Linked DNA regions of Mus musculus. The protein of the gene in region 7 interacts with the protein of the main gene of each other region in a pairwise test. Links are inferred from orthologs where the notes say so. Each region holds a gene or a part of one and is shown on either strand. Other genes may lie near its edges.

Region 1 (4,291 bases), on a different chromosome or scaffold from region 7:
ATGACAGCTTCCTGTGAACTGTGCTGAACCCCCTCTGTTACTGGAACCTGAGTAGCTGTCATGTCTGCTCTGCCGTGACAGTGACCTCTCAGGAAAGAAAATTTCTCTAAATCCCAGTTTTCTGTACATTCCCTGCTCCGTGTCAAGAATTCAATAAAAACAGTGACCTGCTCATAGGCAGAATGGTCAACTGTTCTGAGCAGGAAAAGGTTGTTCATGTGACTCACTCCAGCCCAGCCGTGCCCAAGCCACTAACCTTGTTTTTCCGTCCATCAATCTCAAAAAAGGAGATGGTGCCCTTGCGGTAAATTTCATTGCCTGGAGGGTGCCGAAGATCACATTTGGTCTAAGGACAAAAGGAGGATCAGGTGGGGACTGGTGAGGGTACTCTGGATAGGCAGCCTCCCAAGACCCCTCATACCAAGTGGCGTTGCAGACACTTGAGGCTACGGCCATATTTGAGGCAAAATTCGCACAGGTAGAGGACGGGTAGCGTGGTAAGCTCTTGTGGGTACGGGGAGAAGTACCACGGCTTGAGGCGGTGCCGGCCAAGCTCAATACACTCAATGTTCTTCATCCGGGTGACAATGTCGTCGTGGCTCCGGTCAGACACCAGACTGCCAGTCATTCGTGGTGCTGACGGTATTCCATCTGAGCTGTCCTGAGAATCCTGCCCAAGGCAGATGGCAAATACTAGATGGTAGCAGTTAAGCAGAGCGTGGCGCACGACACTGCCATTGGCTTCTTCCTGCAAGTCTAACATCAGCTAAGGGCAAAGCACCAACCTCCACTTCCAAAATAAAGCGAGGCTGAGAAACTGAGAGTAGAAGAGGCCCAGGGGTTCATCTGCTTGGCTCCCAGCCACCACCCTCCCTGCCTAAGGCCTCACCGAGTGAACACCATGCCCAAGCCCACTCCCCCTTTCCCGGCTTCCCTCTCCCTCTGCTCCTCAAGACCCACCTCATCAGTGCCCAAGCAATTAGATTTCCGCTTCCGTCCAGGCTGGGCTGCCACTGCCCTACGGGCTGACCCATTCTGTGGACAAGACACAAGAGAAAGAGCGACCGTGAGATGATCCTGGAGGAGGATGCTAGACAGCAAGGAATAAGAGGGGAAAGACCAGGCAGGCTGTTGGGATGGCTCAGTGGTTAAGAGCCCTGATCTTCCAGAGGACTTCCTGGGTTCTTTTCCCAGGACCCACAGAGTGGCTCACAACCATCTCTAACTCCAGTTTCAGTGGCTCCAATGCCCTCTTCTGCCCACCTGCACCAGGCATGCAAGTAGAACACATGCAAAACACAGACAAAACATTCAGACACATGAAAAAAGACTGGAAGACTCACCTGAGGGAAAACCGAGGCTGGGGCTGTCTCGCTGGGCACTGGGGTTGCTGGTGAAACCACCTCCACCTTCCGTTTCTGCAGAGAGAAACCAGGAAAGGTGGGTCAGAAGGTAGAGAAGGTGGGACCTGAGAAGAAAGCAAGGTCCCTGGAATTGCTGAGGGTACCGTTGAGCGGTGGTTGGGTTGCAGGCAGGAGCTGGAGGAGAGCGGCTGGTCAGGCTCGCCACCTGGGATGGCCTCCCGCTCCTTGGGCAGGTTGAAGCGGAGTGTGATCTGGACCGGGATTGGCAAGGTCTTCCCGCTGGCCTGGGCGGAGGCCGGCTGCAGAGATAGGTCCAGGGTCTTCCTCTGGGGTGGGGATGGTGGTGGGATGGCGAAGGGGGGGATGGGCCCCTCAGCATGGAATCCCACCCTCTGCCTTCTCTAAAGCAAGGCAGTGCTGGACTCTGGAAGCTACGCCTGCAACTTGGTCCCCATCCTTTGCAAGCTGAAGCCATGGCAGAAGAATGCTGCCTCCTGCCCATTCAGGAACCCCTGAGGCCAAGAGATGCAAGAAGGAAGAGGCAGGAGAGAAAAGATGAAATGGGGGACCTACTCACCACCTCTCTTTCGGGAGAGCCGGGGCGGGACCCAGGAAGTCCGTTCTTGGTAGGTGTCTTGGCCTCTTTCTTGGGAAATTGGATCTTCTTTAAGTCCAGCCGCTCGTGAGTCACCCATTCATCCAGACGTTTGTTGACTGCAGCAGTGAAAACGGCTCAGGAGGGAATGCCAGAGGCTGCCCTCAACCCTCTCCAGCAACCCCACTCCATCCAGGCCCAGGACTCACAGTCAATGTAATGGACATAGAAAAGCTTTCGGCCACTGATGTCCTTCACGCTCAGGATCTCAGCCAGGGCTATGAGAACCACACAGACAGGGAGTCTTAGCCAGGGCAGGTCAGGAGACTCCACCCTTCGACCTGAATCCCACCTCCAGGCTGGAGGCCTGTGTCCCAGCACTCAGAGGGGCTGGTTCAAGACCCCTTTAGTCACCAAGTGACACCTCTCTCCAAGCCCCGCCCGGATCATCTCCGTACGTCCAAAAGCCACGCCCCTCCTCCCGAGTATCTGCGACCGCCCCGGGATTGCAGAAGCCCCTCCCCCTCCCGTGCGATCGTTGACTCCCTCCCGCCCCTCGCCCTCAGGTTCCTTGGACCCGCCCCCCGACGTCACTCACGCCACTCATCTTCGTTGTCCTGGTTGCGCCGCAGCACGGGCAGGCGGCAGCCCTCGATTATCTCCCCCTGGGGAGACAGCGCGGCGCCAGGGTCGGCTACTGGGGGGCCTCGGGCTCTACCCACCTCCCCTGGCTCCCTCCGCCCCGCCCCGGGCACCGGACTCACCACCTCCGCCATCTTCCCTCCCTCCACTGCCACTTCCGGCCCCTCTGGGAGACGTCACTTCCGGAGCTGAGTGCGCTATAGGCCCGAGCCCCTTGAAGCTGTTTGAAAGGGAAACACTTGAGAATCACTGCTAGCTGGTTGGTAGCAAAAAGCCGGCCCGTTTGGGGAATGGAAGAGCAGGACGTTGTAAACCTGAGGCCAAGTACTAGATGGAATCCCCGCTCCTCGCACAGCGATTGGAGGAACGCCGAGTCTGTCACGTGACGCCCACCGGGTGCGACGCCGGTCACTCAGATCATGTTTAGGCTTTGTCTAGAGGCAGTGTTCTGGCGAGCCTCTTAGTGGCAGTGTGAGGTGTCACCCTGAGTAAGAAGCTAAGGAGTGGGGTTTTGAACCCTGGGGAGTCAGTAGACCTGAAGGGATTTAGAGATCCACCCAGGTGTCTGCATAAGATTGCACAGGCCTGGGGGCTTAGCAAGATTTTTCCGTTAATACTGGATTTCTATTTTTAAAATAGTATATATGTGGCTGTATACATGGAAGGTTCAAAATTCCAGTAGGCATTCAGTCAACAAGAATGGATGTCTCAGTTGGTCTTCATTATACATCAGAATCCCAAAGAAGTAGGCGCTAATGACAGTGAAGGAGCGGACTTGTCAACGAGAGTGAGAGCAAGTAGGCAGAGTAAAAGCAGGCTGGCAGTGGAGGCAGAAGCAGGCGAAGCTCTATGAGTTGAGGCCAGCGTTGTCTACAGAGTCAGTTCCAGGACAAGCGGGGTTACACAGATAAGCCCTGTCCTGGGGGTGGCAGGGAGGAAAATCTTGTTTCATGTCTTTCTTTTAGTTTCCAGCAGAAGGTGCATCTTCTGACTTTGAATAACAAGAATAGGTTTGAATAACAAAGGTGTGTTCTCCCTCCTCAAAGATGTGAATTCAAAGTGGATCTTCCACCAAGCCAGCTTGCCAGCACTGGGGAGGCAGAGGCAGGCCTGGTCTACAGAGCAAGTTCCAAGACACCCAGGGCTACACTGAGAAATCCTCTTAAAAACACAAAGCAGTGGGTTTTCCCACTTCAGAGTAGGCAAAATTGTTCACGTATGTGTTCTTCCATTTTTGGGTTTTAGTGAAATCCAGATGTAGTCAAATGGACAACCAAAAATAACTATCACAGATATTGATAACATGCCTAAAGGGTGTAGTGGGGCCCTTTAGCCTTACTTCTAAGTGTTCCCAGTTTAAATGGTTTCGGGTCCATTTGGCCACTTTGAGAAGAGTTTATGTGCAGAAGTAAAGGATTGGTTTCATCACAGGAGCATTAATAATAACACTTGGATTTGATCTGTGTGCAAAATATGTTCAGCATAAGAAGTACTGAAAAGCCAATAGGCCTTTTGTTATTGTTTGTTCTGAGGTGAAGTCTCACTGTGTAGCCCTGCTTGGCCTGGGACTTGTCACAAGGATGACAACAGGCATATGACAGCACACGGCATTTTTCTCTCTTGTGAGTTCTGAGTTGTGCCATCTTTCAGAACATCCAGTCTTCCCCTGAGGAACTGAAGCATCACCACT
Region 2 (4,300 bases), on a different chromosome or scaffold from region 7:
GATAGATAGATACATAGATAGATACATAGATAGATAGATAGATAGATGATTGATAGATAGGTAGGTAGATAATTGATAGAAGATAGACAGACAGATTGATGGATAAATGATAGATAGGTAATAGATGATTGATAGATGCTGAAGATAGATGATAGAGACAGAAGATATACAGATAGATGATTGATAGATAGAAGATAGATAGATAGATAGATAGATGATAGATAGATAGATAGATAGATGATTGATAGATAGGTAGGTAGGTAGATAATTGATAGATGATAGATAGACAGACAGATAGGTTGATGGATAGATGATAGATAGATAAATAGATAGATAGATGATTGATAGATTGATAGATAGGTAGGTAGATAATTGATAGAAGATAGATAGACAGATTGATAGATAAATGATAGATAGGTAATAAATGATTGATAGATAGATGCTGAAGATAGGTGATAGAGACAGAAGATATACAGATAGATGATTGATAGATAGGTAGGTAGATGATAGATAGATAGATGATAGATAGATAGATAGATAGATAGATGATAGATAGATGATAGATAGATGATAGATAGATAGATAGATGATAGATAGATAGATAGATACATAGACAGATACATAGATAGATAGATAGATAGATGATTGATAGATAGGTAGGTAGATAATTGATAGAAGATAGACAGACAGATTGATGGATAAATGATAGATAGGTAATAGATGATTGATAGATGCTGAAGATAGATGATAGAGACAGAAGATATACAGATAGATGATTGATAGATAGAAGATAGATAGATAGATAGATAGATAGATGATAGATAGATAGATAGATAGATAGATAGATAGATAGATAGATAGATAGATAGATAGATAGATGAAGATAGGTATAAACGGCAGAAACAGAAGACCAGGTATTACCTTTGACCAGGCAAAGGTCCACGCTCAGCCTGGGCTCCACCTGACACCTTCCCTTCAGCCTGTAATTGGAGACACCTGCATCTGACTTTGAGCCCCAGTCCCTGTTTAACCACCAGGGCCACAGGCAGGTGACTCCAACCCTTGCCACATCCAAGGGAAGATGAGGATGGTAGCACCAGCCCCTCACCGGTGTGAGGGGGACCTCATCAAAGGGCAGGACCAAGTGCCTGGCCCATGCACTCTCTGCAAAGTGGCACCTGTCGCCTGTAGGCTGTCACCTGCCCCAGTTCCAGATGTTCTGCTCTCCATCCCAGGGCAGCACTCTCAGGGCTAAGGTAATAATTACAGCCCAGGTGCTTTCTCTTTCTTATAAACAGAAGAGAAAGCCCGAGACTTGGAGAGACAGCTCAGAAAGCAGGTTTCTCATCCAGGGCTCTATTTGCTGTGGGCAGAATCCTGGCTAAACCTCAACGGTCTCCATGTCAGGTGCCAAATGTCTTTTCAAATACCCTGTAACTCAGACACTAACATGTCACACTGGCATTCCTGTATTGCCCACGATTATTTAGGTCTTGCATGGTCAAAATAATACTTAAGGACCCGTGCGTAGTGGAGCACACCTGTAATCCCAGCACTTGGGAGGCAAAGGCTAGCAAATTGGAGGCCAGCCTGGGCTAGGCAGCAGATTTAAGGCTAGCCTGGGCAACTAAGAGATTTTTGAGAATTTGCTTTGTATCGCAGAGATTTGGCCAGGGGTTTCATGTCCTCCTACCACATTAAACCCCTTTTAAAATCTACCACGTAGGCAGGAAAATCAGCTCCATTTTACAAATTGAAAAACTAAGGCATTCCCGAGTCCAGGATGCGGGTGCAGAAGACTCTTACCCTACACCCACCTACCAACCCTGTATTTTCCAACTCCCAATTGCAAAAATGTCTTCATAGAAGCCAGTTAAGGAGGTAGGGAAGCTAGTGATTAGTGCTCCTTTCACAGATGGGTAAACTGAGGCTCCAAGAGCCAAAAGAAGCTCCTAAGTCCTTTGCCTTCTCTCCTTGGCACAGCACACGCCCAAACTGCAAAGCCCAGTCTGGAGCAGATCTCCGTGCTTGTTTTATTTTTCATTGTTCTGATTTGATTTTGGTTTTTGAGATAGAGTCTCACTATTGTAGCCCAGATTGTATTAGAAAGTCTCCACAGTCTTCCTGTCTCTCGAGTGCTAGGAAAAGAGGCGTGTGCCATCACGTTCTTTTCTTGGGGTTTCTGACAGTGAGTTGCTGAGGTTGAAAAGCGGCCACCCACTTAACTCGATGTCATCACCGGGGTTGGTACGTGGCCCAAGCTGACAGAGGAAATGGAGCGGGTCCCCTCAGCCTGCGCTGCCCTGCGCGTCACAGTCCACACTCGGAAGTGGGCGGCGAGCAGCCCCACGGGAGGTGCGGGCTGCAGTTCCCACACCTCTCTCAACCTCGCCCCGCGTCCCCGCAGCGTCTGCGCCGGCCACCCGAGGGAGTCCTGGGATCGAGCTGCACTTGGGCGCTGCGGAAACCTTCGCGGCCACCGGGACCTCGCAAGGAAGGAGTGCGGGCGCGCCCTTCGCCGACTGCGCCTCAGGGCGGCCGGACTCTCGGGACGGGGACGCGCTTGGACGGGAGCTGCAGTGGGAGCTGGGGACACGACCGCCCGCACCCTGCACTCCCCGCTCACTGCCTCGATTTCCCTCCCCTGCATCAGGGTGCGCCCGGATCTCGGCAGGCCTCGTTCGCCCTCCTCCAGAACCCCGGGCCCTACCTGCGCCGTGGCTCGGACTGTGGATCGGAGCGCCCCGGGGACCCCCGCCCTGCATCGTGCGGCCGGCTGCGCCCCGGACGGCGGTGACTGTGGTGGTGATGGTGGTAGCGGCGGCCGCGGAGGCGGCGGGAAACGGGCAGGGGGCCGAGCCGAGGGCTGGCTTCTTCCTCCTGCCCAGGACCGCCGCTTCCTCTCCAGCCTCGGCCCCTCGCTAGCGCGCGCGCGCCGCCCCTCGCGGCTCCCAGACCGCAGCGCAGAAAGTTTTGCTTTTCACTTGGAGGAAACCAAGGAGGGGAAGTGTGATGGGGCAGTGTGGCCAGGGACCGAAAGACTGGGCGCTTCCCAGACCCTGGGAGTAAAAGGCGGGGTGGTCAAGAGAGGGACTTCTTCCTACCAAGTCGCGGTGAAGCCGAAGGAAAGTGACAGATGACAGGTCGGGGGGGGTGGGAGCAGCTGTTAAAAATGACTTGAGAATCGAATCTCTGGCAGCACGGGGCTGGCCAGGAGCACGGCACAAGCCTTGGCTTGTGCCAAGCTCCTGGCAGCTGGCTCACCTCCCCCATCCCTTCCCTTTGGCTGCTTCAGCAAAGCACCTGCTACAGGACAGTGGGTACAGGAAGTGCCAGTCAGGGGTTAGGCCCGTCATAACCTCGCCTCTGGACCCCGAGGCAAAAATAAACCTACAAAACTGAACTGCATGGAGTCAGCCGGAGACCTGACTGTGGGTGGAGCATGGGGCAGTGGGAAGAAGCCTGGGAGAGTGCGTGCTGGAAGGGAGGAGCCTGTGGCCCTAGAAAAAAGACCAGGTGCTGGAAAGGTGGGCCAGAGCAGTTGCCTCTTACCAGGAACCTTCGGGTAAGCACGGGCGGATGCGGCTGAAGTTGATAAAGACATGAGCAGAGTCAGGATTTAGTGCAGTGGGTAGGGTAACAGGGTTGAAAAAGGCACTGTGTTGGTATCCTAGTTTGCTTTACCTGTCAGTGTGACATAGCCTAGGGTCCTGTGAGCAGAGAGCTTTAGTCCATGATTACCTAGATCAGATTGGCCCGTATCGCGTCTGTAAGAAAGGTCTGGACAGTTAACTGGCCTTCGAAGGCCCAGCCCACTGTGGGCGGCACCATTACCTAGGTTTCGAACTATCCAAGAAAGCTAAGTGAGCTGAAGCCCATCTACGAGCCAGCTGGCAAACAGCGTCCTCTGTGGTTCCTGCTATACCTGATTGGCAGTGAAGTGAGCTCTCCATTGGAGGTTAATGCTGTGTGCTATAGCAAGCAGGCCTGCCTTAGGTTCCTGCCTTGACTCCCCTCAGTGATGGCCTGCGATCGATCTGAAGTGGTCAGCTAAAACGAATGGAACGCCTCTCCTCCTCAGGAGGCACTCCGTAGTAAATACAGTTGAATTGGCCAGCCTGCCATAAACACTCTCAGGTCTACCTGACTCACTCCCGAGGATAACTAGGCATACCTCTGAATATATAACATAAACTGTCTTAAAACAGGGGCTGGAAAGCTGGCCCAACAGTTCAGAGCACATAGCATTCTTGCAGAGGATCAGAGTTCAGTTTCACAGCATCTATCCTGAGTAGCTCAC
Region 3 (3,428 bases), on a different chromosome or scaffold from region 7:
ACTAGACAACTTTAGAAGTGAATTATTTATGAGGTTGTCTTAAAATTAAAAATTACAAAGTAATAAATCACATTGTAATGTATTTTGTGTGATACCCAGAGGTTTAAGGCAACCTATTACTCTTATGCTCCTGAAGTCCACAATTCACAGTCCTGAACTATAATCTTATCTTTGTGATTGCTGAGCAAATTTGCAGTATAATTTCAGTGCTTTTAAATTTTGTCCTGCTTACTATTTTCCTTTTTTATTTGGGTTTGATATGCGTGCACAGAATGGGGCTTCTATTAAAATATTCCATGGCTTACATTTTTAATATTTTGTTCTCTTAATATGTTCAAAGCTACTCAACTTTTATTCCCGAAAAATGTTTACTTTAATTATTCTAATTTCTTACATAAAGCATTGAGGTGCTAACAATTATATACTATGTACAAGATGGCAGACTAAATCATATCATACCATCAAGTAGAAACCTGGAGTTTGGTGAACTTTGAGTTGTTTATATGTCTCTCCTTTATTGTCTTCTCAAAACCTGTGATTCTGAAGTCAAAGGGACACAGCTGTCACATGAAAAGTGATCACTTATCACCTGTATGCATAAAACACCTTACCAAGCAGCTAAGAGGAATAACTCCTAGCCACTTTGAGAAACGTTTTTGAATAAACAGAGCAAGGCTCTTCCCCATTCTCCCAGAGATATAGCATAAAACTGAGCGCATTTTTATAAAACAAAAAAGGAGGAATGTGTGGTTTGATGGCCAGACCCTGAATTTGTGTTCAGCATCTGCTTTTCCATATTATAGATGGGTACCAGTGATTCTGAGCCATGTCTATTTCTCCTGACTTTTCCTCTGTTTTCCCACGCTTGCTGATATTTACAGCCGTGGTCATCACAATCACCTTTGTTCCTTTCTTCCTTCCTCCAACTCTGCATTAAATTCCAGGAACTTGCTTTCTGTGAAGTCTAGAATCTGTCTTGAAGCAAACTCACACTCATGGGGTGGCTTAACTTGCCTTGGAAAGGGATATTGGGAGGTCACTGTGTTGTTATGTTACAGAGTCTTAACTTGCTGTTTAAATCAAATACAGTGTCAGAATGCTCCCTTCTGATGAACGTAAAAGGTATGTGATCTGACTTCTATAAGTGATTGTATTTGGATCAAAGACATTAAAGTTACAGATGTTAATTCTTACAAAGGTTGCATCTAATAACCCTGGCAAGTAGTTCAACAAATGTCTGCTGTTTGTATTGCAACTCTTGCAGCCAATAGCTGCTGGGAGTGATTTAATGCAGCTGGAGACTAGCACTAACAATCATTATAGCCTGAAAAGTGTGCACCAAGTTCACTGTACTTTTTTTTTCTCTTCAGTCGAAGGACTGATTAATGATCATCAGAATGTACTTGATTTTTTTTTTCTTCCATTGTATTGTGATTGAAGAATTAGTTGGAAGGTGACGTGAACTTTTGGGCAGGCCAGTACTGTTTAACGGGGGAAGAAGTTGCTAAGGATTCACTTTAGCTGTGAGCAATCGTTTCATCTGAGACTGCCAGGCTTCATCTGCACCCCCAACCCCACCTGACTTATTTTTTAAAAAAGAAACACCTTGTGGAGTAGTGATAGCACAGATGTGGCTGGTTTTGAGAATCAAGGAAGAAGGGAAAGGAACTGGGATGAAGGCAGCAATCTTCAGCCATGCTCCCAAACTTCCCTGGCTGTTCCTACTCATTTCTCCCTAGTGTCTCATGTGACTGTCCCATCTGAGGGTGTAATGCCTTCGCCTCTAAGCCTGTGTCGCTACCTCCCTCGTGAGCTGTCGCCATCGGTGGACTCGCGGTCCTGCAGCATTCCTTTGGTGGCCCCGAGGAAGGCAGGGAAGCTCTTCCTGGGGACCACTCCTCCTCGGGCTCCCGGACTGCCACGCCGGCTGGCCTGGTTCTCCATAGACTGGGAACAGGTATGTCTGATGCATAGGCTGGGCTCTGGAGGGTTTGGCTCGGTGTATAAAGCCACTTACCACGGTGTTCCTGTGGCCATCAAGCAAGTAAACAAGTGCACCAAGGACCTACGTGCATCCCAGCGGAGTTTCTGGGCTGAACTGAACATTGCAAGACTACGCCACGACAACATAGTTCGGGTTGTGGCTGCCAGCACGCGCACGCCCGAAGACTCCAACAGCCTAGGTACCATAATCATGGAGTTTGGGGGCAACGTGACTCTACACCAAGTCATCTACGGTGCCACCCGCTCACCGGAGCCTCTCAGCTGCAGAGAACAACTGAGTTTGGGGAAGTGCCTCAAGTATTCCCTAGATGTTGTTAACGGCCTGCTTTTTCTCCACTCACAAAGCATTTTGCACTTGGACCTGAAGCCAGCGAACATTTTGATCAGTGAGCAAGACGTTTGTAAGATCAGTGACTTCGGCTGCTCCCAGAAGCTGCAGGATCTGCGGTGCCGGCAGGCGTCCCCTCACCACATAGGGGGCACGTACACGCACCAAGCTCCGGAGATCCTGAAAGGAGAGATTGCCACGCCCAAAGCTGACATCTACTCTTTTGGAATCACCCTGTGGCAGATGACCACCAGGGAGGTGCCTTACTCCGGCGAACCTCAGTACGTGCAGTATGCAGTGGTTGCCTACAATCTGCGCCCCTCACTGGCAGGGGCGGTGTTCACCGCCTCCCTGACTGGAAAGACACTGCAGAACATCATCCAGAGCTGCTGGGAGGCCCGCGCCCTGCAGAGGCCGGGTGCAGAACTGCTCCAAAGGGACCTCAAGGCTTTCCGAGGGGCACTAGGCTGACTCCATCGAGCCGATGTAGAGATAAGCTTTTTGTCTCTGTTTATTTTTTTAAAGAAGTAAGGATGGTGTGGAAGAAAACATACCACTAGGGCATATTTTTAGGAAATAAAGTTACCACGAACTTCAGCCTGAAGTGCTTTTCCTAAGCATAACGGGGCCACAGATCTCATGGGCATCGCTGCTGGTAAACTAAGCCGTTTTGGGGTTCCTGGCCCTACTGTATCATTTCTGTAGTAAGGTTTGTTCCTGGATGAAAAAAAGAATGGGGGTGATGGTGGGAGGAGAGGACATCCCTGCTCCTAGGTATGAAGAACAAAGTTTATCGTGAATAAAAGGGAGACATAGGACATGGACCTGACTCTGAGCCATGTGAGAAGAGGTAGGAGGGGAAGGGAGAAGGAAGAGAGGAGAATCAGGTGTAGCAGCCCAAAAGAGGAGAAGTAACTAAATGGATTATACAGGGAAGGACAGCTGGGGAAGAAGGGCATGCCAGCCAGGACCACCCTGTACTGATAGGGATTGAGGGATGCAGGGAGAACCTGGCACCAGGTCCACTTTGTTGTGTTAAATAGGCACTTCAGCCATTTGTCCTGGGGTTGAAAACTTAGTTACTGGTAAAGAACAT
Region 4 (3,986 bases), on a different chromosome or scaffold from region 7:
GTGGCACACGCCTTTAATCCCAGCACTTGGGAGGCAGAGACAGGCAGATATCTTAGTCCGAGGCCAGCCTGGTCTACAAAGTGAGTTCCAGGACAGCCAGGGCTACACAGAGAAACCCTGTCTCCAAAAAACCAAAACCAAAACAAAAAAAAAAGTTCAGCCAAGAGATAGGTCTAAAACTTTTGACTATCAATTTAGATGTCAGGCCAATACAAAACTGTGTGTAGCTGACAACGTGAGGGTGACTCAGATGATTTTCACACGTTTTAGAAATGTGGCTTAAAGTAAAAGAACTAATTCCTATTATACATTAGTGCCTGCTTGATGCCTTAGACACTGACAGGAAAGATGACGCCAATAATATAAAGTGGATTATAAACCTACTAGACAATATTAGGAATGTTTCAACACAATTTAGTATGAATAATTGGATTTTTCTGGCTGGTTTTTGAAACAAGGTCTTTTGTAGCCCCTGCTGGCCTTGAATTACCATATCTGGTTGCCTCTACTCACCAAGTGTTGGGATTATAGTTATGCACTGCCTTGCCAGGCTGATAAAAACTTTTTGTTTGTGCTTTCTGGGAACTCTGATAACTGAATACAATGTCAAAACTTTAGTGCAGTGACTGCCCAAAGAGATTCTCAGAACAGTACACAACGAGGAAAGCCGAAGCAATAAAAGAAGGATAAATTGAGACAAATGTTCACGCTCTTTAGGACGTGACTGAATTTTCCTACTGTTTTCGTATTCTCCTGAGTTGTTTTGCATACATGTCTAACTTAAATTGTGTCTGAAGGATGTCAGGGGAGAATGGAACCCTTTGGCTTAGCCTTGTAAAGCAAGGCAGAGTTCCCGGACTGTTTAGGACGCGTCTGAACACAGTTGGCGATCCAGATTCACTTAGGGTGAAGGAGGGCTACATCAAGGTCCTTGAACAAAGTCTCAGAGTCCCTCTGCCTTTGCTCCTCTTGCCGGGGGTTCAAAGCAACCTGTGCGGCCGGGCACACCAGTCTCTCATCTTGCAGAAAAGCGTCATCCCGCAGCCACAGACTCCGGGCCGGGAAAAAGGGGGCAGGGCTGGGGCCAGGAACGCGGCGGCGCGCAGGCGCGGCTGGAGGGACGCGGAGGGGGGCGGGGCGCCGCCGGGCGGGCGGGACGCGCGCCGCCGCTCCCGTTGCCGCTGCTGCCGCCGCCGCGTCAGCAGCGTGCCGCACGTGCCCGTGTTTACGTCCCTCGTGGAGCCGCAGACGTCACAGCCGAATGGCAACATTGTGGCGACGCTGAGACTAGCGCTTTAGGAGTCTGCTTTCTGGTTCTGGTTCTGGCTGGCTGGGCGCTGTTGGCCGGGGGCAGAGGGGCGGCGGGGAGGTAGGCCCCGGCGGGCGAGCGGCGGACGCGCGCCTCAGCACGCAGCCCCGCGGCTCCGCGCAGGCCGGTCCGGCGGCCCAGGGCCCTGCGCTGCGGCAGCGAGCGGCTTGTAAACAGATCCGGCCGCACGTGACCATGTGAACTACCTGCTCCGGGCCGCGTATTGTCTCTTCTGAGAGCCGCACCACAAAGGAGCCGGTGGGTGAGCGGCCGGCGCGCTAAGATGGCTGCAGGCGCCCCGCAAGGGTGAGCTGGGGGCGCGGCCACCGCGGAGACTCGGCCGGGCGGGCGACCCCCCTCGCCGGGCACCGGAGCTACCATGTCGTTCGCGCTGGAGGAGACACTCGAGTCCGACTGGGTGGCGGTGCGGCCCCACGTATTCGACGAGCGCGAGAAGCACAAGTTTGTGTTCATTGTGGCCTGGAACGAGATCGAAGGCAAGTTTGCTATAACCTGTCACAACCGGACGGCCCAGAGACAGAGGAGCGGTTCCCGGGAACAGGCGGGGACGCCCGCGTCTGATGGGAGTCGCGGTCCGGGCAGCCCCGCGGCCAGGGGTCGGTCAGAGGCCGCTGCCTCTGCTACAGCAGCGCTCCGGAGTCCCGGGCCACGGAAAAGCCAGGCCTGGGCCGAGGGCGGCTCTCCGCGCAGCGCGCGCAGCCTGAAGGGGGATCCTCCTCGGGGTCCCGCGGGCAGAGGACCGGAGAGTCCTCTCCGTAGCCCCGCGCGGGCTAAGGCCAGCCCGCTCCGCAGAAGCGCCGAATCCCGAGATGCGACCGCCAGTGCCACGCCAGCCCCGCCGGCGCCCCCGGTGCCCCCGGTGTCGTCGGTGCGGGTGGTGAGTGCCTCCGGGGCGGTCTCCGAGGAGATCGAGGTCCTGGAAATGGTGAGGGAGGACGAGGCGCCACAGCCGCTCCCGGACTCGGAGCAGCCGCCGTCTGCCGCGGAGCTGGAGTCTCCGGCCGAAGAATGCAGCTGGGCCGGGCTTTTCTCCTTCCAGGATCTGCGAGCCGTGCATCAGCAGCTGTGCTCGGTAAACTCCCAGCTGGAGCCGTGTCTGCCGGTGTTCCCCGAAGAGCCGTCAGGCATGTGGACGGTGCTGTTTGGGGGCGCCCCCGAGATGACCGAGCAGGAGATCGACGCTCTATGTTACCAACTCCAGGTATACCTGGGCCACGGCCTGGACACGTGTGGCTGGAAGATCCTTTCTCAGGTTCTTTTCACCGAGACGGATGATCCGGAGGAGTATTACGAAAGCCTCAGCGAGCTGCGGCAGAAGGGCTATGAAGAGGTGCTTCAGCGGGCCAGGAGGCGCATCCAGGAGGTGAGTGCGGAGTCCGAGCAGCGGTCCTAGTTTTCACGTCTCACTGCCAAGTGTTGGAGCCTGGGTTTGGGGTCTGCGAAGTGTCTTCTTTTCTAGCCGCGGGAAAAGGAAGAACAGGAGGGCTCCTGATCGGCTTTCTTTACTTATCTCAGCGATGGATCTTTGGGAAGTTTTGAGTTTTTTTACCCCTCCAAAAAGTACCCAGTTTACTAAAAATACAGGTAGAGATAAAAGCATTTAGAAAAACAGGTATTCTGTAATCTTAAACTAAATGAATGTTACTCTCCCCCTAAAGTAGCTTGCCCAGACATTAGCTCTTCTTTCAGGGTGTCATGTTTATGTACTGAAAATTGTTGTCTTACCGATCAAAGTTGATCTGCTTTTGTTTGCCTTGTGTGCTCTGGCAACATAGGTAAGTATGAAATTTTACTTTTCAGCGTTTTGCGGTGCTCAAAGTGTACCACTGAACTACACCCAGCCCTAAATTTATTTTTTAAAAAGTGTGTTGACTTGACCAAATGAGAATTGACATAAGTAAGATTTTAGACTATGAAGTCTTTACAGATGGCTCAAGTTTCACTCCTGTTTTAGGGAGAAGGTAGGTCAAGGGCAGGAATGCTTTGAGCTTTTATATGTAGTGTGAACACTTTAACATACTTCTTGAGTCTTTAAATAACAGGAAATAAAGGCTATACGTAGTGAGCTCTTCAGTGTGTGTTTATAGTCATGCCTCTTCTGTAGAAATGTACTAAAAAGTGTAATTTAATAAGGTGACTTCTAATGGGCAATATACAATTTTTCAAAGCAATTTGTTTTAATGTCACAGTATTTTGTGCTTGAACTTGGGATGGAGAGAAGCTCTGTTTCATGGAGTTTTTATTCCTGAATTGCTGTCATTTGTATGTATATTTAACTGATATTAGGCCAGGAACCTGGAATGTTCTTAGTTTCTTACTAGAATATTTGGTGTTTGACTTTGCTAGACTATTATTTCTCACTTACACCATACACTATGCATACATTTACAACTTCCTCTATCAAGACTCTTCACTCTAGCTCACATCTTTAATCCCAGCACTCGGGCATGTGGATCTTTGTGTGTTCAAGGCCAGCCTGGTGTGAATAGGGAGTTCCAGGACAGCCAGAAGCACCTAGTCACAAGCTGTCTTGAAGGACTACACTTCTCTGGGTTACTGGATGGTAGGCATCATGTGGAGCTTCCTAGAGTTCAGGAACCTGTTTTCATTTCTCCCTTTACTAGCTCACTTCCTGGAGACTTTGATAATCTTTTTG
Region 5 (3,500 bases), on a different chromosome or scaffold from region 7:
CTGAGCCCCGAGTTGCCAGAGGCACAGGGGAAGGAGTAGAGATACAATCACTTTAAATCTCCAAGAGCTCGCCACCTATTGGACACACGGATAACTACAGGAGAGGAGAGGAGTCACTGCCCCAGGGAGGCGTGTTCAGGGATTAGATGTGAGGGAGACCATGCCAGCCCTTGGTTAATCTCCAACAGAGCCTCTCCCCTCATTCCAGCCCAGGCAAGCTGGAGCACTGAGGTATTAGATCATCTCTATCTCTGGACAAAAGACTCTACACTATTTTCTCCAAAGATACAAACCTATTCTCCAGATACCCTGAACTTAAGCTGCCGGCATCAGGGGAAGAGTCCTGCTACTCCTAATATCTCATGCCTGGACAGGAAGAGAACCATCCAGAGCAGGGATCGGGGTGGGAGGATGGCTCTCTCTCCACAGGTAACATGGTGATCACACTTCTACTGTGGCATCCAGCCCTGGATGGACCAGAGCCCACAGGGGAAGACCCTGACATTTTGGATGGGAGATCAGAGAATGAGAAGAACAGCAGACAGGGGGGGCTGAACCTCCTAGAGCACCTTTGGATCATTCCCACGTGTGTAGGTCTCTGAAGCACGGGCCAGCCCCTTCCCCATGGCTCTGAGCCATGGAGCCACCAAGTCATGCTTTGATCATCGTGGAAGATGATCTCTGCTGCTTGTCCGCCACCAATCGTCAGTCAGGTTGGGAGTTCTGTTCCTAGCCTGGCTCTTTGTAACACGGGGCTGTCTCCCCAGTCCCTCACTGGATCCCCAAGAGTAAACTCACCATGGTGTCTCGCCCTGGAGAACTGGAGCGGCTGGGCCCAGAGGCCTGGCCCTTGCTCTTCTCCCACAGTGTGTAACGGCCACTTGGTCGGTAGGTGGGACTGAGGACTTCAGGGACTCGGGAGGGAGGAGGGGCTTGCGTGAGCACCTGTGGTGCACTGCCCTTTCGACCATAGTTCTCCAGATAGTCTGTTAGGTACTCAGAACGGCTGGCTGCTTGGTAGAGGCCCTGCAGGGCACAGAGCTCCTTACGCGTGCGGGCCAGCATGGGGCTGCGACCCAGGTTTCCAGGGTCTATCCTAAAGCCCTCTGAGGTCCGGTAGCCATCTGAAGTCCGGTAGCCATCTGAAGTCCGGAGGCTGGAGAAATCCCGGGCCAGGTCTGATTGGCTGTTCGATTTCTTCTGGCTCAGGGTCACCCCCTGGTCTCTGGCATTCATGGGCAGGTAGCTGAGGGAGTTGCTGGAAACTCCATAAGAAAATCCACTGCCTCCGTTGAGTCCACTGCCCGAGGGCCTTTCATTGCCACGGGTCTGGCTCTCTGACCGCTTACTACTCCCAATGATGTCAGATCTCAGCAGGGGGCGGCCCCTGTCACAGTCCAGAATGGAGGAGGGGCCGTAGGTGCGGGGCCGTGGGAGGAAGCTGGTGGGGGAGACCGGCTTGAAACCAAGTTTTTCCTTCTCCAGGAAGGAGGCGGCCAGGTTGGCCCCATAGGAAGAAGGGGTGTAGGTGCCATAGCCCGGTTTGGCATAGGGGGCATCTGTGTAGCGGGACGATTCTGTATAGCGCTTCAGGGTGGAGGAGAGCTGGGACATCCTTCAGGGTGGTACTCAGTGGGTACTGGGAGCCTCATGGGCTGAAAGACAAGGAAAGCAGCTGTCAAGGGCTCTGCGAAGCACCAGGCCCATCCTGTGCTCATTCTTTATGCCAGCTGGGCCAGGACCTTAGGGCTCAACAGGGACCACTTGGGGCCTGCCTATAATAGGCTGGCTAGCTCCAGAGAAACACACATGCAAACAGGTATGTATATGGGTGGGTGTACCCATGTACCCACAAGAACAACCAGCAAAAGGCACAGCCTCTCCACTTCCCCAGCCCTCTACATCAGAGACTCCAGCTGAATCTCATGTGGGTCTTCTTGTAAGTCTCGGCAGGAACTTTTAGAGTTGGCAAGGGCTGGAGACTGGGGGATCCTACCACCCTCAGTGCATAGACTGGGGGACAATGAGCACTTTGAGTTATGAATGCTTCTCTGCCTTTGGCAAGCAGTTCTACCTTCAGGTATAAAATGCTCCCTCCACCCCCCGGAAATGTCTGGAAGACTGTGAGGAAGAGGAGGGTCTCAGGAAAGGAAGTGATGGCGGGAGATGGGAGGGAATGTCTAGCAGAAGGGCTGGACCCTGGTCTCCAGACCTCCCTTGGTACTCTTCCTTGGACACAGGTACCTGCTTGGTCACACAGGGGACCACACCAGGAACGCTGGTGAGGTAGAACCTGTCTATTCTCTTCCTGGAGTTTGGCTTTGTCTTCCCAGTGGAGCTTAGGAACCTACGGCCTCCTAGGAGGTTTCAGGACCCACGCAGGGGCCAAACTGATCCTGGAGTTACTTGACTTGTGCAAGAGGCGCCCCCTAGAGTCAAGATCCTGTACTGTAGACTGCAGACACTCCCAGACTTCAGGGTTTTGTAGATTAATCCCTGAATGTGGAGGTTGGATAGTCCTAAAGGCCATGTATTGATTAACCTATTGTACAGATACGGGCATGATGCCTGCTTGTCCAAGTTCACCTGCTCTGGAGAGTCAGGATTGGAACCCAGGTCGTGGCCCCGCACCCTTTCCCACCAGCCTTGCTTCTACCATTCCTCAGCAGAGTTGGGCAGCTCTGAAGACTCCTAGAACCCCTCCACCATGTGGCAAGAGGGGAGAAGGTGCTTTGGAGAAAGGGGCACAGAGGACCAGGCTCCTTTCTTCAGGGACTCTTAAGTGGGGGTGGGGTGGGGTGGGGCTCAGGGTGGGGTGGAGGTCTGGAGACCTATCCAGGAATCTCAAGAGTAGCATACGATTTAAAAAATCTCTCTCGGGCTGGAGAGATGGCTAAGCGGTTAAGAGCACTGACTGTTCTTCCAGAGGTCCTGAGTTCAATTCCCAGCAACCACATGGTGGCTGACAGCATCTGTAATGGGATCTGATGCCCTCTTCTGGTGTGTCTGAAGACAATGACAGTGTACTCATAAATAAAATAAATCTTAAAAAAATAAAATAAAAATCTCTCTCCTCCTCCATGTGTGCGTGTGCATGTGTGTGTGAACACCACACACACACACACACACACACACACACACACACACACACGACACAGACATGAAAGTCAGAGGATAACTGGTAGGAGTCAGCTCTATCTTTCCACCATGCATGTTTGGGGGTTTGCCTGTTGGTTAGGTTAGGTTTGGTGGCAAGTGATTTTACTTGCTGAGCCATCTCACTGGCCCCAGGGCTGGTTTTGACTCTCTCTGAGACAGACCAGTTGAGCAGTTACACTAGCCGTTGAACCTCTTTGAGCCCCGATTTCCTCCCTGTAAAGTTGCCTAATAACATCAGGATTCCTATCTCGCAGGGTTGTTGTGAGGACTGAGATAATAACACGGGAAAGCGCTTAACAATGACCGGCTATTATCTTCTCTCCTAGCCAGCCCAGCCAGGC
Region 6 (4,067 bases), on a different chromosome or scaffold from region 7:
AGAGACAGAATCTGGATTAGGAATGAGGACAATTATTCCATTAGACAATCACTGTCTATATGACCTTGGTGAAATCACCTAACATGTCTGGACTTAGTTCTATGATCTAGAAAATGACAGTGCTCTAACTGGTAACCTCGGGAGTTTTCTCTCCAGCCCCATGACTCTACAACACAGCCATTCCACGTAAAGGAAGCAAATAAGATAAAAGTCTTTAAAGCCACTTACGTCACTAATGAGCTCGGTGCACTTTCTGGCCAGTTCCATGCTGAGGTCTTCAATAACAGGTTTCAGAGACACCTATGTGAAAATTAAAAAGAAAGAGGGAGGGAGAAGGTCTGATTTTCCCTTATCTGTTAAAGGACAGAGTTCTGTGCTTAAGTGAGTTCTTTCTTGCTCACCTTGGCTTCCTGGTTTTCTTCCTGCTCCACATTTTCCTCCTCAGTTTCCTCTTTTACATCCCCGGATACAGGTACCTTCATCTTTACCCTATGAAGATATTAATGCTTTCAAACTGTGTCTTCTCAGGAACTACCACACCCGTGAGCTACCAAGTCTCTGGGGCACTGGAAGCAAAGGCTTGCCAGACTTTATCCCTGGCTCATGTCACTCCTTATCTCAATGGTGTGTCAGTGAACACCCAGGAGCCTCAGGGTCTGCCAGGCCCAGCCTCACAAGTGAAAACTCTCTCCTAAGTCAAAGCTCAACTTTACAAACTTAAAATCAACATTCTTAGGATAGCATAGGAAACCCAAGACAAAATGGTTTTTTTTTATCTTCTACTAATGAATTTTAAATCAATTAATCAATTAATTTTAAAAATTGTTTTAAAGGGACTTGACAATTCTAGAAATCTACTCAGCTATAACACCTAAGATAGCACCGGCCTAAAGCCTTTATCCCAAAGATATCTCAACTTGGTCTAAATAAAGCCTCCTCTGGAATGTCAGTCATTCTGTTTCCATATAGAGACTCCGTACCATACAAATTTATTTCATTAACTTAAATTAAATGTTTTATGAGGTTTTAGTGTACTTCTCACATCCCCCAAAACTACTCACTTCATATTAGCTGATTAGAGGCTAATAATTTATTACAAAAAGCCCTTTGAACCACTTCAAAGAATCTATTCTGAGTTAATTACAACTGCTAATCTCAAATTAGGGAATACTGTACCATATTAATCGTAAACATCATTAAACATGAGAAGTTGAAGTTAATATATGTTGATATATTATTTAAGACTTCAGGAAACATCGCTGCATTGGAAATAATTATGCTCTGCATTTTTGTCATTGTGTGAATTTTCACTAACTCACTAGTATCTTTTATAGTCTCACTGTATCCCACACTTGGAAAACTAAGAAATTACATTACCATATTTGTTGTGTAGACTATCTTACTAGTTCAATAATTAAGAAAACTCTTCTAAATAAATCCTTTATTGTCGATTTAAGCAATTCTAAGAATCTCTCATTCCTGATGTGTTAATTTGGCTGTTTAAATTTTAAGGTAAAATTGCTTTTTATAAAAGTATTGCATATCAGTGATCAGTGTTAGAAAAACACCCCATGGTGACTAATTAAATTAATTACATAAAATAGAGCTTTATCCAAAATAATACTTCATTCCTACATAGCCAAATATATTTTGATATCATCTTGTTTTCAATTTATTTTTAATAACTTGTAAAATATTTTTAATTTAAAAAAACACCCTGAAGTTAAGAAGATCTAATGTCTATATATCCCATTGAACATCTATGAAGGTAGAATAGTGATTCTGAAGTTGTGGAGCTAGTTTCATGTTACATTTTATATAGTCTTAACTATTGAATATCTATCTCTGTACACGTCCTTATCAGTTTTTAAAAGAAAAATGCCCCAGCCTTATCTAATAAGTCATTCGAATTCTGAACATCCATCAAAAACCATACTGTTTCTCACATGCTTTTCCAAAAGGCAAAACTGTACCACAAAAAAAGGTTGATAAGGCAAAAAACAATGACCTAAAACAAATCTCTTCAAGAAACCTATAAAGAAATTTCTATAGTTGTCAGGATGAGTGTTACACACCACAGTGACACATGCAGAGACCTGTGATGACCGTCAATCAAAAGCCCTACCCAACTTACTAAATCTTTCCCTTCTAAAAGAAGAATCCTGTCTGCCTCCTGTTTCCACATCTATTCTGCCTACTATTGTCTCTTAATGGCATCCAGTGCCCTCTGTGAAATGTGACTTAGGAAAACATTGTTACGTCTGACTAACTTCTTCATGATTTGCTGGCTTTCTCATTAAACAGTTTTGAATAGAGGTCAAATTAAGGGTATCACAGACCCCACTTAACCAGCAAAATGCCAGAAAGGAACTGTCCCCGGAATGCTAAATTGGGAAACTTTGAGATAACAGCCATGTCGTCCCTCACGTCTACTGGAATTCTTTTCGTTTGTTATAAACTTGTCCTGTAAGGAGAATTTGCAATCTATAAGTTTCCCTCATGTCCTCTCCCTAAGGCTGTCTTTTGCTTCTGTAGAGGCTCCTCTGTGCTACCTTCAGGAAGGAAATGCTTTCTACGGAGGAATAATTTCTAAAAACTTTTCTTGCAAACCTTCAGAAGTACATAGGAAAAAATATCCCAACGCTGTCCAAGATGAACCTCTTAGCTTCCACTTCAGATGACAATGCTCATGTTGCTTTGGGTGATGTCTGTTTCCATAGTGAATGGCGTGCCTGAGGCTTAAGCAGGATTTCTTCTCATCTTCAATCTTGCTGTGAGTTCTTAATGGTTCTTCGCTGGGCTGCAATAAAATAATCAGTTAACCTTTAATGCACAAAAGTTTCAAAGACACACCAAACACCACACATAATATGAACATATTTTTTCTTTTAAGAGGTCAGAATCAGAATTTTAAAGTCACATTACTAAAATCTTTAAAGCTTGCATTTCCAGCCAATTTAGGAGATGGGAGCAAAGCAATCACAACTTCAAGCCCAGCCCAAGCTACAGAGAGAGCTTCATCCCAACCTGGACAACTTAGCAAGACCATGTCTTAAATAAACATAAAAAGATGGCTAGGAACACAGCTGGCTTATTACCAAGTTTGCTTGCTTCTATGCAAGGCCTTCTGTTGGGCCCCAGTGCTGACAACCATCACAAACCCTCACTTAGAATGCTTTCCTTCAGAGAGGACAAACAGAAGGCTAAGAACAGTGAACTATTTGCTTCCTTTGCAAAACAGTGTGATAGGAACTGCTTAGTACACACTGATGCCTGCTTAGTACACACTGATGTTGTTATGCTGGTTCTACACCAGGATAAGGAGATCCAGTAGTAAGTAGCACATACCCTGGCAGGAAAAAAATCACCTCAAAACTTGCTGAGTGAACTCTTTAATGGACTTTCTGGCAAGCCACATACACCATTACTTTTGATTTAGTGTGTCTTCTTTTCATTTGCATAAGAAGATAGTATAAAAGTCATGTCAAATTTCCTCTATATTTTTTAAGCCCTGATTTTATCAGTCAAGCTTTTCTGTCAATAGGTATAAACTCTGACTTGGGGAATTTGTTAGAAAAGGGTCCTTAGTGGGCAGTTATTACGTTTCAAAAATACCTATCCTTTTTCGTAAATCCTAGTGTAAGTTTAATGTTGTATTATCATAAATTACAATTGAGTTCTGAGCTGAGATGGGAGATACCAGAAAATATGATGCCTCAGACCATGGGATGCTTTAGATTACAGACACTGGGGAATCAGCAGAATCTGGAAAGAGCTCTTCTTTGAAAATTCTTTATTTACACAAAGGCTGCTTCTACCAAAAGCGAACATAGTGGGCTTCTACCATGTTATTTCATCAACCAAGAAGAGGAAACCAAACACCCAAAGCCGAAACAAACTTTGTCTCAGTCTGTTGTCTTTCTGAGTCTATATCTCACCACCCCCTCCCCCAGTAAATCATTTATTCTTCCCTAAAATTGCCTCCATCTTGACTCAATACTTTCTCCCATATGAAGATATAATATGAAGGGGTATATAAGCCTTTAAACCCCATTTTCTTATTGGGC
Region 7 (3,500 bases):
GAGGGATGAGGGGACATTGCTGATACAGACAGGTGACTGAGTGCTACAGTGTAAGTGAAAGGACACATGACCTCCACCTTGGTTCTGAGAAAAGGCAGTCATTGTACAATGGCTCTAGCAACTTAATTTAAGCCTGCCATTTTCTTCAGAAAGACTGCCCTCTCCAATCCCTTCCCCATTCCCTTGTCCAACAGATGTTCACTGGCCTCTATCTTGTATTGGTGCATCCACGGTGGGGCCACTCCTGAACACCAGAGCACCCGAGCCCCAGGCTCATTCCCACTTGGTCTAGCCTTCTGCTGTGGTTACCTTTTTGCTCTCAGAAAGCTTAAGGGGGTTGCCTTCCTCGGCAGCCTCACAAGATTCATCCTCCCCTTCTCTGTACTCTTCAAAGTTTTCCTCCTCATCTTCTGTCGGCTCAGGCTCTGCCCTAGGATCTGCTGCTGGATTAGTAGCTAGTTTACACAAGTCTTTCTTGGCTTTTTTCTCTCTTTCTTTCTTTCTTGCCTCTTCGATCTCTTTTTCTTCTTTCATTAGCTCATCTAATCTCCTCTGGCTGGCCTTGTAGTATAGCATCACCTCCAGATTCTGCAGGGTGGAGGCAGGGTAGGGTGGGGCTGCTGTTACCTAAATGAATCTTACCCTCCAGACAGGGCTATATTACCTCCAGAAAGCTCTACTTATATCACATCAGAGTCCCATTGTGCAAGACTGTATTTTGGAACTACAAACTAATCTTTTCAAGAGTAATGTGGAGGACAGTCACACTTAGTTTGTTAAGCTAGCAATCAGATCTAACCATGAGGCCATTTCAAGCGGATAACCATAATCCAAGACTCTTGGACTTTGGTCCTCAATGGCTGCTTCCTCCCTTTCTGGTCATTCTTACCACAGCCAATCCTCTTGCACACATAAATCCCTCTCTCTCCATCTAGCTGATCTTTCATTGTGTAATGATGGGCTTTGACCATGAAACCCAGGAATAACAGGGGTCCCAGAGATGGACTTAGGCTAGTGAAAGCAACTGGTGGGCATTCTCCCCAAAGCACCCAGGAAAGTGGCCAATTGCTTACATAGTTGGAACTCTTGTATTAGCAGTACTAAAAGTATACCTCCTCACAGTGCCTTTGTTTCTTCCCAGGGCCTCCTCCACCCGCCGGGGCCTCTCTGGCTTCTAAGGCTCCAACTCACCTTTTCATTCTCAAAACCGTTCTCCAAATCCTCTGAGCACGCCATGCTCAGCTTCTTATTTCTAACTCCATTGGCATTCTTGTTCATATTCTTATTGACATTCTTGCCCCTGGCTTCTGAGCTAATAGAGGGCCTGTTTTCTTTGAGCTGGCGGAGTTCTTCCTGGCAGCACTGCAGCTGCCCCTCCAGCTGCTCCTGCACGGCCAGAAGCCGCCCCTGCTCATCCATGCTAGCCTGGTACTGCAGCTGCAGCTCCCGCAGCTTAGTTTGCAGTTCTTTGATCTGTTGGTAGTGGGACTCCAGTTATCCACAGCACAGCAGTCCCACCCAGTCAGCCCAGGACTTTCTTAGGAAACCACTCTCTCACAGATCTCCCTGCTAAAGCTCACAAGGAAGTGGACAATAAGAAGTTCAAGTAGGCAATGAAACCTAAGAGGCTTCACAGATAGCTCCCCCACCCCAAGTTGAAATACCTGAAGATCTGCATCTAGAATGATAAAAATTATTATTAAGTTAAAAATATTGATGTTATGTTTTTTGATCGTGACCTGTCAAGGGAATAACTACATGAGTGCCTGCCGCCACTTCTGAAGCTCAGGCATTATTATCATCTAATTTTCCTTCCAGGAACTCCCACTTCACCCACTCCACTCCTTTGTTAGTTACTAGGGAACTGCTGAGAACACCTGGTAGTAGTACATGTGGCACCTGCAACCCCGTCCTGGTAACATACGAAGTTAAACCTGTCCCCTAATCTCAGGCTTGCCTTCCTGGGCTGATGGCAGCACATGGTTCACTTAGTAAGTACTAATCAGCATAGGTCTGTGTGGCCATCACTCTCTGCATATGTTCTATCTCTCCCAAACACACATACAGTGATTCTCCCATTGGACGGTGAACCATGGCTGGTCAGAGCCCTGTCCTCAGAGTGCATATAATCTAGTTGGGGAAAAAAGACAATGGACTTAAAATAATGAAAAAATATTGGCAAGTTAAAAAAAAAATACAGCTCCATACAAGTGCTCTGGGGTACAAAGTAAAAGACAGAATAGAAGCAGCGAGGGGAGAGAGCATCGTCACGAAAGTAGCCTGGAATTACCAGTAAGTCACAGGACAGTGAGCACTGGAGGGTCCTTCACCTGACAATGCCCATCAGATGCTGCAGACTGCCGGCCCCTCACCCCCACGCCCCGTTCTCTAAGGTGGCTCTCTGGCACTGGCAACTGTTACCTCGCACTTGTCACTCTGGGGAGGCAGGGGCTTCCCCAGGCTCTCCATGCACTCCCTCAGCTCCTTCTCGCAGCACTGCAGCTCCTCTGTGAGCTCCTTCTGCTTGGCCAGCAGCCTGTGCATCCGTTGCTGCAGCTGGCAGTGCTCTTCCTGGCTCACTTGGTACAGGGCCTTCACTGCCTGCAACTTGGTCAGCACCTTGGCCACTGTTTCCTCAAAGTGCTGCAGAGAGTGGGGGATTGATGACAGCACCCCAAGAAGCCCTTGATCTCTGTCCTACACTCTACACCTCTGGCCCTTTCCTGGAGCTGCCTGGGGGTGGGGCGGGGGGACCATACTTCCTCCCATAAAGAACATCCTGACTATGTTCAAAGTCCTGAACCTCGGGGTCTTTGTGCAAACCAGGACACGTCTGTCAGGAGTAAGAGGAAGCAGGACAGTCACTAGCAGAAGTCTTCCATACTCCGAGCCTGCTCTGCCCCTGCTCCTATCTCATTCATATGCCCTTCCCCTGGTGCTGTTTCTTTCAGAGGAACCCACCTTCCCTGCCTGACCAATAACCTGGCAATGGTTACCTCCAAGTCTTCAGGCTCAGCTGGGTCCTCATCAGTACTGCTGCTGGCATAGCTCCTGTGAAGGGTCTCACCACTACTGACAGAGCCATAACTCTTCTTATAGCTCACACTTGTGCTGCTGGAGCAGTAACTCTTCTCAAAGGCCTCGTTGGCACTGGTGCTACTGTCATAGCTCTTGAGGAAGGTTTCAGTGCTGGGCTGGGAGCTCACATAACTCTTCTGATAGCCCTCATTTTCATCAATGGAGCTCTCGTAACTCCTGTGGAAGTTCTCAGTGCTGGGGGCCCTGCTGCCTGAGTTCTTCCCGCAGTACTCAAAACTCCTTTTTATCATGGGGGACTGAGTTTGGAGCACCTGCATTTCTTCCATGCAGAGCTGTAGCTCAGCCTGCAGCCTCTTCCGCTCCTCCATGAGCCGCCCATGCTCCCGCTGCAGTACCTCCTGCTGTTTCTGACTGGTGTCATATAGCACCTGCAGAGCCTGCAGCTGGTCCATAAGCACCTT

What was found.
Region 1: the proteins of Ccdc136 (region 7) and Kat5 interact in binary tests that used the Homo sapiens proteins (3 or more experiments, as listed by UniProt). The two-hybrid records come from large-scale screens. The link is inferred for Mus musculus from reciprocal best matches to the Homo sapiens genes CCDC136 and KAT5.
Region 2: the proteins of Ccdc136 (region 7) and Disc1 interact in a two-hybrid assay, tested with the Homo sapiens proteins (2 studies listed by BioGRID and IntAct). The link is inferred for Mus musculus from reciprocal best matches to the Homo sapiens genes CCDC136 and DISC1.
Region 3: the proteins of Ccdc136 (region 7) and Mos interact in binary tests that used the Homo sapiens proteins (3 or more experiments, as listed by UniProt). The two-hybrid records come from large-scale screens. The link is inferred for Mus musculus from reciprocal best matches to the Homo sapiens genes CCDC136 and MOS.
Region 4: the proteins of Ccdc136 (region 7) and Jmy interact in binary tests that used the Homo sapiens proteins (3 or more experiments, as listed by UniProt). The two-hybrid records come from large-scale screens. The link is inferred for Mus musculus from reciprocal best matches to the Homo sapiens genes CCDC136 and JMY.
Region 5: the proteins of Ccdc136 (region 7) and Usp2 interact in binary tests that used the Homo sapiens proteins (3 or more experiments, as listed by UniProt). The two-hybrid records come from large-scale screens. The link is inferred for Mus musculus from reciprocal best matches to the Homo sapiens genes CCDC136 and USP2.
Region 6: the proteins of Ccdc136 (region 7) and Nebl interact in a two-hybrid assay, tested with the Homo sapiens proteins (2 studies listed by BioGRID and IntAct). The two-hybrid records come from large-scale screens. The link is inferred for Mus musculus from reciprocal best matches to the Homo sapiens genes CCDC136 and NEBL.

The regions. Positions count from the first base shown.
Region 1 is NC_000085.6:5,607,295-5,611,585, forward strand, and holds the start of Kat5 (histone acetyltransferase KAT5), read right to left. Parts: upstream 2,801-4,291; 5' UTR 2,736-2,800; coding exon 2,724-2,735; coding exon of another isoform or gene 2,625-2,723; coding exon 2,558-2,624; intron 2,451-2,557; exon of another isoform or gene 2,238-2,450; coding exon 2,169-2,237; intron 2,079-2,168; coding exon 1,942-2,078; intron 1,691-1,941; coding exon of another isoform or gene 1,664-1,690; coding exon 1,508-1,663; intron 1,419-1,507; coding exon 1,344-1,418; intron 1,036-1,343; coding exon 961-1,035; intron 671-960; coding exon 422-670; intron 347-421; coding exon 257-346; intron 1-256. UniProt on the Homo sapiens protein: Catalytic subunit of the NuA4 histone acetyltransferase complex, a multiprotein complex involved in transcriptional activation of select genes principally by acetylation of nucleosomal histones H2A and H4.
Region 2 is NC_000074.6:125,052,695-125,056,994, reverse strand, and holds the start of Disc1 (disrupted in schizophrenia 1 homolog), read right to left. Parts: upstream 2,801-4,300; 5' UTR 2,766-2,800; coding exon 2,711-2,765; intron 1-2,710. UniProt on the Homo sapiens protein: Involved in the regulation of multiple aspects of embryonic and adult neurogenesis. Required for neural progenitor proliferation in the ventrical/subventrical zone during embryonic brain development and in the adult dentate gyrus of the hippocampus.
Region 3 is NC_000070.6:3,870,158-3,873,585, reverse strand, and holds Mos (proto-oncogene serine/threonine-protein kinase mos), read left to right. Parts: upstream 1-1,480; 5' UTR 1,481-1,771; coding exon 1,772-2,803; 3' UTR 2,804-2,928; downstream 2,929-3,428.
Region 4 is NC_000079.6:93,497,009-93,500,994, reverse strand, and holds the start of Jmy (junction-mediating and -regulatory protein), read left to right. Parts: upstream 1-1,186; 5' UTR 1,187-1,688; coding exon 1,689-2,693; intron 2,694-3,986. UniProt on the Homo sapiens protein: Acts both as a nuclear p53/TP53-cofactor and a cytoplasmic regulator of actin dynamics depending on conditions. In nucleus, acts as a cofactor that increases p53/TP53 response via its interaction with p300/EP300.
Region 5 is NC_000075.6:44,073,521-44,077,020, reverse strand, and holds part of Usp2 (ubiquitin carboxyl-terminal hydrolase 2), read right to left. Parts: intron 1,656-3,500; 5' UTR 1,615-1,655; coding exon 799-1,614; intron 1-798. UniProt on the Homo sapiens protein: Hydrolase that deubiquitinates polyubiquitinated target proteins such as MDM2, MDM4 and CCND1. Isoform 1 and isoform 4 possess both ubiquitin-specific peptidase and isopeptidase activities.
Region 6 is NC_000068.7:17,460,057-17,464,123, forward strand, and holds the start of Nebl (nebulette), read right to left. Parts: upstream 2,801-4,067; 5' UTR 2,611-2,800; intron 490-2,610; 5' UTR 483-489; coding exon 402-482; intron 301-401; coding exon 229-300; intron 1-228. UniProt on the Homo sapiens protein: Binds to actin and plays an important role in the assembly of the Z-disk. May functionally link sarcomeric actin to the desmin intermediate filaments in the heart muscle sarcomeres.
Region 7 is NC_000072.6:29,417,075-29,420,574, reverse strand, and holds part of Ccdc136 (coiled-coil domain-containing protein 136), read right to left. Parts: coding exon 2,997-3,500; intron 2,644-2,996; coding exon 2,422-2,643; intron 1,474-2,421; coding exon 1,192-1,473; intron 589-1,191; coding exon 310-588; exon of another isoform or gene 1-309. UniProt on the Homo sapiens protein: May play a role in acrosome formation in spermatogenesis and in fertilization.